Callithrix jacchus: one gene and its partner. The protein of the gene in region 2 binds, or shares a complex with, the protein of the main gene of each other region. Links are inferred from orthologs where the notes say so. Each region holds a gene or a part of one and is shown on either strand. Other genes may lie near its edges. The genes, in order: NUP42 and GLE1.

Region 1 (4,370 bases), on a different chromosome or scaffold from region 2:
AAAAACTAGTTTGGACAAGTAGTTCCCAGTCCTGTAGATTCTAGTGTCTTCAAAATCCAAACAAATTACATGAGCAAGAATGATGGCTCACTTCCACTCCAATACTCCTAAAACCACCAGCACAAATCTGTAATCCAACAAAGTCAGATTTACTGACTTATTGCAGGCACTGAGACTGCACACCAGAGGAGCTGTGGGGTGTCTCACTGTACAAAATAAAAGGTAGTTATTGTAGGGTTTTTTTTGCGGGGGGGAGTGGGGAGAGAGAAGTTTAGGTGAAATTTAAACAAAATCTCAAAGCATAGCTGTGTGTAAAGGCATTAACATCAGGTCCGGACCGAGAATTGAATGTAGGGCATGTTTTCTTGGAAACTGCAAGATTAAGAAAATATAGAATGTGGCCGGGCGCGGTGGCTCACGCCTGTAATCCCAGCACTTTGGGAGGGCAAGGCAGGTGGATCACGAGGTCAAGAGATGGAGACCATCTTGGTCAACAAGGTGAAACCCCGTCTCTATTAAAAATACAAAAATTAGCTGGGCATGGTGGTGCGCGCCTGTATTCCCAGCTACTGGGAGGCTGAGGCAGGAGAATTGCTTGAACCCAGAAGGCGGGCGTTGTGGTGAGCCGAGATCGTGCTATTGCACTCCAGTCTGGGTAACAACAGCGAAACTCCGTCTCAAAAAAAAGAAAATATAGAATGTTTTCAGAAACCGTTTATCTGAAGCTCTACACCTGCCTAGAAACTGAGGCTGCTTCTCTGCGTCAAAGAGACTTAGAGCCTCCAGGTAAGTATGGGACGTTTCACTTGTTCTGATATAATTTCAAATAGCAATGTTTATGTGGACTTTCAAGAACACGGTTTCTCAGTGAGTAGTAAGAATATAGTACTCACTCGAAGAAGTAATAGTTTTCCCTTGCAGTATATTCTAAAAGAAACATTGTTTCCTGTTAACGTCACGTCTAGCTTTATTTGACTCTGTTATCCATCCAGATGAAAGGCCGGGCAGACTTACTAGAACGACTCGGTCTATCAAATCACAACTAATTCTCTCAGGGACTTGCTGAATTCCGCATTTGCCTGCTCCGCCTTCCTCTCATTTTGAACCTCAAACCTTCCTGTAGTCCGAGGCCCTGCACTGGGGTCAAACGCGCCTCCCGTTCTTCGCCCTAACCATTCAAGTATCCCGCCTTCCCAGGACACCCTCAAAGCGACAGAGCGGTCGCTCTTCTCAAGTTCAATTGGCTCAGATCCTATTGGCTCAAGTTCACACCTCTCATGGCACCGGGCGAGACAGGAAGAAAAAAAGCCTTCCCCAGGCGCGAGAAGATGACGTCACAGTAGCTCGGCCGGGCGCCGCGGACGCCTGGGGTTTTCTGCCTACTGACTGGCGTTGACCGGTGCCGACCGAAGACTCCTCCGTCAGCGACGCCATCGAAATGGCCATTTGTCAATTCTTCCTTCAAGGCCGGTGCCGCTTTGGAGATCGGTGCTGGAACGAACATCCAGGTGCCAGGGGTGCAGGAGGAGGACGGCAACCACCGCAGCAGCAGCTTTCAGGTGACTCTCCTCCGACTCCTCCGCGGTAGCCAAGCCAGGATGGGCCCGCTGGCGGGGACCAGGCGACCCGCGTGTGTCCCGGTGCTGGTGACCCCAACGTGCCCGCGTCGCAGCCTTGCCGGCCCCATTCAGCGGGCCCTGCACGATGTTTGTAAACCGAGGGTTTTATCTGCTTATTATTATTATTATTTGAAACGCAGTTTCGCTGTTGTTACCCAGACTGGAGTGCAATGGCACGATCTCGGCTCACCGCAACCTCCGACTCCTGGGTTCAAGCAATTCTCCTGCCTCAGCCTCCCGAGTAGCTGGGACTACAGGCGCGCACCACCTTGCCCAGCTAATTTTTGTATTTTTAGTAGAGACGGGGTTTCACCTTGTTGACCAGGATGGTCTCGATCTCTTGACCTCGTGATCCACCCGCCTCAGCCTCCCAAAGTGCTGGGATTATAGGCGTGAGCCACCGCGCCCGGCTATGTGATCGGTTTTTATTGAGCTTCTGAGAACTGGGGTTTGGGCCTGGATGCTTGTGTACGAAACAGTGAGTTTTTAAATCGGAAGCACCTATCGAAATTACTTTGTAGGTGAATGACCGTCATTGAATATAATTTTTACTAAGTTGTTTTTTCGATGGTGAGGCTAGCAGCTTGGGTCAGAATCAGGACTTCTCATTTTAGAGAAGTTGTGGCCTTCTTTGAAGATTTGATAAAACCTATAGAGGCATACCGCAGAAAAATTCACCTGCTCATAAATTTGGGGTGAAATTGGGAAGGTGGGACGCCCAGTTAAGAATTCTCCTGGTTGCCGGGCGCGGTGGCTCAAGCCTGTAATCCCTGCACTTTGGGAGGCCTAGGCGGGTGGATCACGAGGTAAAGAGATCGAGACCATCTTGGTCAACATGGTGAAACCCCGTCTCTACTAAAAATACAAAAAATTAGCTGGGCATGGTGGCGCGTGCCTGTAATCCCAGCTACTCAGGAGGCTGAGGCAGGAGAATTGCCTGAACCCAGGAGGCGGAGGTTGCGGTGAGCCAAGATTGTGCCATTGCACTCCAGCCTGGGTAACAAGAGCGAAACTCGGTCTCAAAAAAAAAAAAAAAAAAGAACTCTCCGGGTTACGTAGAAAGGGGAGATGGGGGCCACGTCGAATCTACTCCCTGGGCCTAGATCATTGTCAGAACTTTTTGTCTTAAAGGAGAGTTCAGACATGAAACCTTAGAACAACACAAGATTTTAAAGACCGAGTTAATAATTTGGTGCTGTCTCCCTTCCTTCCCCTCCTTTAGGGCTATTCATCTGACCTTTATTTTTTTTATTTTGAGACGGAGTTTCGCTCTGGCTCCTAGGCTGGAGTGCAGTGGTGGGATTTCAACTCACTGCAAACTTTGCCTCCCTAGCTCAAGCGATTTTCCTGCCTCAGTCTCCCAAGTAGCTGAGATTACAGGTGCCCACCAACATGCCCTTTAGAATAAGATACTATTAACTCCTACTTGAGGGATCTAGTGTAGCAATCTCTTTTCTTTGTCGATTTATTAAGGTAGTTAGAGTTGCAGGATGAACTTTCACATGTGGGCATATATGTCATTCCAACTTTTAATATATTTCATGCTGTATCACCTAATTCAGTTAGAAACAAGATGAGTTACCTTACTCTTGACACTAACTAGGAAGTGATAAGTAAATGAGATTACTAAAGTGGTTAAGTGTGTGTGTGTGTGTGTGTGTGTGTAAAGGAGAAAATCTTTTTAGCTCATTTTTATATTTATGAAATATTGGAAAGCTACTCATAGAGGAACTACATCCATTTTGTTCACATGTGAATACCTGGTATAATCTCCCTATGAAAATAGCTGTGTAGGTGGTTGCCCAAAGAAAAGACTGAATCAAATAAACTTAGGCATCTATCCAAAAACGGGGTAGAAGCTAATCTTTCATGTTCAAAAAACTTTCATTCAGTGTCTATTTTTCAGCCTTTACTACAATACAAGGCCTGGTAGGGGAGCAAAGAATGATGAAAACACAAGTTCTTATCCTGAAGGAGTTTATGATTTATGATGCATGCCCTCTATCAACTTCACTATCTGCAGTTGTTTAATAAGTTTATGTTAGCTGAATATAGTAATATCATTATTTTTCTATATTTCGCTATATTATTTTCTTCTCAATCTCAAACAAAAATGCAGTTGACCACTATGTGATTTGTTGATATTACAACCTAACTATGTAAATCAAAAATGAAGAGATTGTCATTTAAAATGAGTGGAAATGTAATGCTTGTTAAATCTTTCTATAATGTCTAGTCATACTAAGACACAATTAGGATTTTTTTTTTTTTTTTTTTTGAGACCAAGTTTCACTGTTGTTACCCAGACTGGAGTGCAATGGCACGATCTCGGCTCACCGCAGCCTCCTCCTTCTGGGTTCAAGCAATTCTCCTGCCTCAGCCTCCCGAGTATCTGGGACTACAGGTACACACCACCATGCCCAGCTAATTTTTGTATTTTTAGTAGAGACAGGTTTTCACCTTGTTGACCCAGATGGTCTCGATCTCTTGACCTCGTGATCCACCGCACCCAGCCCACAATTAGGATTTTTGAGATTTAAAAGAACAATTGCTGGGCACAGTAGCTCACACTTGTAATCCCAGCACTTTGGGAGGCTGAGGCGGGTGAATTGCTTGAACCCAGGAGTTAGAGACCAGCCTGGGCAATATGGCAAGATCCCATCTCTACAAAAAGTACAAAAATTAGCCAGGTGTGGTGGTTTGCACCTGTGGCCCCAGCTGCTCAGGAGGCTGAGGTGGAAGGATTGATTG
Region 2 (3,443 bases):
AGCACTTTGGGAGGCTGAGGCAGGCAGATCACTAGGTCAGGAGTTCGAGACCAGCCTGACCAACATGGTGAAACCCCATCTCTACTAAAAATACAAAAATTAGCCAGGCATGGTGGTGCATGCCTGTAATCCCAGCTACTCAGGAGGCTGAGGCAGGAGAATCTCTTGAACCTGGGAGATGGAGGTTGCAGTGAGTCAAGATCGCGCCATTGCACTCCAGCCAGTCTGCATGACAGAGTAAGACTCTGTCTCAAAAACACAAAACAACAACAACAACAACCAAAAAGAACGCTGGCAACATGCAAAAAATATATTAATGAGAGGAGATACATTAAATATATTTTATTCATCTTGGCATAGCTTTCTTACAGGCAGTATGCAGAATGATACATATAAAGAGGTAATGGCAACCCTTACTCCAAAGGTTAAGAGAGAATTAGGAACAAAAAGAAGTGTTTGGAAAAACTAAGGAAGAGTGCAATCAGAAAATCTGAAGGTCCAAGACTTGTCAGACACAGGTGCATTCCAGCCCAACAACAGTGTGGGACATGTTGGTCTAAAAGCATCTTACCTCTAAGAACTGCTTGAGGCGTATGAAGGAACCCATCTGTCCTGAGCTTGTGATAGCTTCAATTCTACAGGGAGAGAAAGAAGACACACGGATCACAGCTATGGTATACACCTGTCTTTTGGAGACAGTGTCTCACTGTGTCACATAGGCTAGAGTGCAGTGGTGTGATCATAGCTCATTGAGGCCTTGAACTCCCAGTCTCAAGCGATCCTCCTGTCTCAGCTTCCCTAGTAGCTGGGACTATAGGTACATGCCATCATGCCTGGCTAATTTTTTTTTTGTAGAGATGGGGTCTTGCTATATTGCCTAGGCTGGCTTTGGACACTTGGGCTCAAGTGATCCTCCTGCTGTGGCCCCTCAAAGAGCTGTAATTATAGGCATAAGCCACTATGCCCAGCCCTTAATTTGTGTTTTTGTTTAGACAATGATATTTAAAACAGACTCTCATTCAGGTTCAGAAGCATTTATTCAAATATCAACGAGAAGGACTGGTAGGAAGATGTCATTCTTAGTACAGGTGTTTTCAACTTCAATCAAAACCAGCAGGTAATAGCACCCTTTGGTATCTGAGGCTGGTTATGAGTTTTACTTACTTAATCCCCTGTTGTCTGACTAACAAGCCTGATACCTGGGAAAGTAGTCCTCTTTGAGGAGAATTAGCATCTTCCAGAACTGAACCTGGTACTGCTTCATGAGGGCATTCCCACACACCTAGAGGGAAAGACAAGCACTGTCAGAGCAGAGAATGAAAAATTCACACTCACAGGACAGATTCATAAAGCACAATCAGCCCTTCATCTTTCACACCTATCAAAACTTTCAGCCACAATGCCACTAAACTTGCTATTAAGGGAATAAATGGAAATACCCAACTTTCTTCTAAAGCATTTCTCTTTATGCAGCAATACCTTCATTTAGCCAGACAGTCAGGTCTTAATGAACTAATCTTCTTTTTCTCTACTGAATGGAAGCCTTCCTAAAGGGATGGTATACCTCTCAAACTTAGTAAGCACAGTATACAGAATACCACTTGTGTTCTCAAATGATACAGGATCATTGTTCATGTATGGTGACTCCAGGAGCTTTTTATTATTATTTTTTAATAGGGTCTTATTCTGTCGCCCAGGCTGGAGTATACTGGTGTGATCACAGTTCACTGCAGCCTCAACCTCCCCAGGCTCAGGTGATCCTCCAACCTCAGCCTCCCTAGTAGCTGGGACCACAGGCACACATCACCATACCCAGCTAATTTTTGTATTTTTTTGTAGACATAGGGTTTTTACCATGTTGCCCAGGCTGGTCTTGAACTCCAGGGCTCAAGTGATCTGCCTGCCTTGGCCTCCCAAAGACTGGGATTACAGGTGTCAGCCACTGCACCTGGTGACTTCAGGAGCTATTAAGGTAACTAATAGCTTAATAAGGAACTACAGCATTATAGGTCAAATGGTTCCAGATTTGTTATGGCAGGTACCCCAACCTTTCTTCTATAAAAACTATCTTCTTGGATGAGTACAATAGCTCACTCCTGTAATCTCAACACTTCGGCAGGCTAAGGTGGGAGGATCACTTGAGCCCAAGAGTTTGAGGCTATAGTGACCTATGAACATTGCACTCCAGCCTGGGTGACAGAATAATATCCTGTTTCAAAAAAAAAAAAAACCTCACAAAGTGTCACCTTTCCATAGAAACTCTTGCCCTCACCCTATAATAGTGGTCCCTTATAGGCGGATAGAAGTGTTTATAGAGCCGTCTGGAGGTGGTGGCTCACACCTGTAATCCCAGCACTTTGGGAAGCTGAGGCAGGCGGATCACAAGGTCAAGAGATTGAGACCATTCTGGCCAACATGGTGAATCCCTGTCTCTACTAAAAATACAAAAATTAGTCAGGTGTGGTGGCACTCGCCTGTGGTCCCAGCTACTTGAGAGGCTGAGGCAGAAGAATCACTTCAACCCAGGAGGCTGAGGTTGCAGTGAGCTGAGATTGCGCCACTGCTCTCCAGCCTGGTGACAGAACAAGACTCTGTCTCAAAAAAAAAAAAAAGAGAACTGTTTATAGAGCCTTCTACGTTGGTCAGATACCCGACCCCCAGGCTGGCTAATCATATTTTCTCTCCTAGGAATTAGGAATCGGAACAGTGAAATGCCAGTCCCACCACACTGAGTGACCACACTGAGGCTGAGTGACATAGCCTAGAATAGCCACTTTCTTCACTGTACACAGAGAAACAGGGCAAATTGGCCTACAGACCAGGAATGAGGCAACCTGCAGGAAGGTTAAGAGCATATGGCTCCAAGGAGAAACTGTCTTGGTGCCTGGTGACATTTCAGTTCTTGGTTCTAGGCCCTACTGAGATGCACCTGCACATCCTATTCTTGTTTCTGGGAGTCTTTTTTTTTTTTTTTTTTTTTTGAGATGGAGTCTTGCTCTGTCTCCCAGCCAGACTGGAGTGCAATAGCACGATCACAGCTCACTGCAATCTCCATCTCCCAAGTTCAAACTGTTCTCCTGTCTTAGCCTCTGGAGTAGCGGGGATTACAGGCATATTCCACAACACGTGGCTAATTTCTTTTGTATTTTTAGTAGAGAGACAGGGTTTCACCATGCTGGCCAGGCTGGGCTCGAACTCCTGACCTCATGTAATCTGCTCACCTTGGCCTCCCAAAGTGCTGGGATTACAGGTGTGAGTCACCGTGCCCAGCCTGGGAGTCACTTCTTTTTTTTTGAGACCGAGTCTTGGTCTAACACCAGGCTGGAGAGTGCAGTGGCATGATCTTGGCTCACTGCGACCTCCGCTTCCTGGGTTCAAACAATTCTCCTGCCTCAGCCTCCCGAGTAGCTGGGACTACAGGCGCATGCCACCACACCCAGCTA

The links.
Region 1: the proteins of GLE1 (region 2) and NUP42 are in contact, whole or in part, in a crystal structure (PDB 6B4I), measured with the Homo sapiens proteins. The link is inferred for Callithrix jacchus from reciprocal best matches to the Homo sapiens genes GLE1 and NUP42. Residues at the interface, in NP_001003722.1 of Homo sapiens: Ile385, Ile593, Leu598, Asn599, Trp602, Arg603, Ala606, Gln607, Leu609, Asn610, Gln636, Tyr637, Gln638, Val639, Gln640, Lys643, Met644, Ile646, Leu647, Glu650, Asp651, Tyr652; in NP_001357375.1 of Homo sapiens: Asp185, Asn186, Val187, Leu188, Phe189, Gln202, Phe203, Gln204, Ser205, Lys206, Lys207, Phe208, Leu210, Gly211, Lys212, Ile213, Pro214, Leu215, Lys216, Pro217, Pro218, Leu222, Leu223, Asn224, Val225.

What each region holds. Positions count from the first base shown.
Region 1 is NC_133512.1:34,948,570-34,952,939, reverse strand, and holds the start of NUP42 (nucleoporin NUP42), read left to right. Parts: upstream 1-1,336; 5' UTR 1,337-1,438; coding exon 1,439-1,559; intron 1,560-4,370.
Region 2 is NC_133502.1:177,137,176-177,140,618, reverse strand, and holds part of GLE1 (mRNA export factor GLE1), read right to left. Parts: intron 1,283-3,443; coding exon 1,200-1,282; intron 636-1,199; coding exon 572-635; intron 1-571. UniProt on the Homo sapiens protein: Required for the export of mRNAs containing poly(A) tails from the nucleus into the cytoplasm. May be involved in the terminal step of the mRNA transport through the nuclear pore complex (NPC).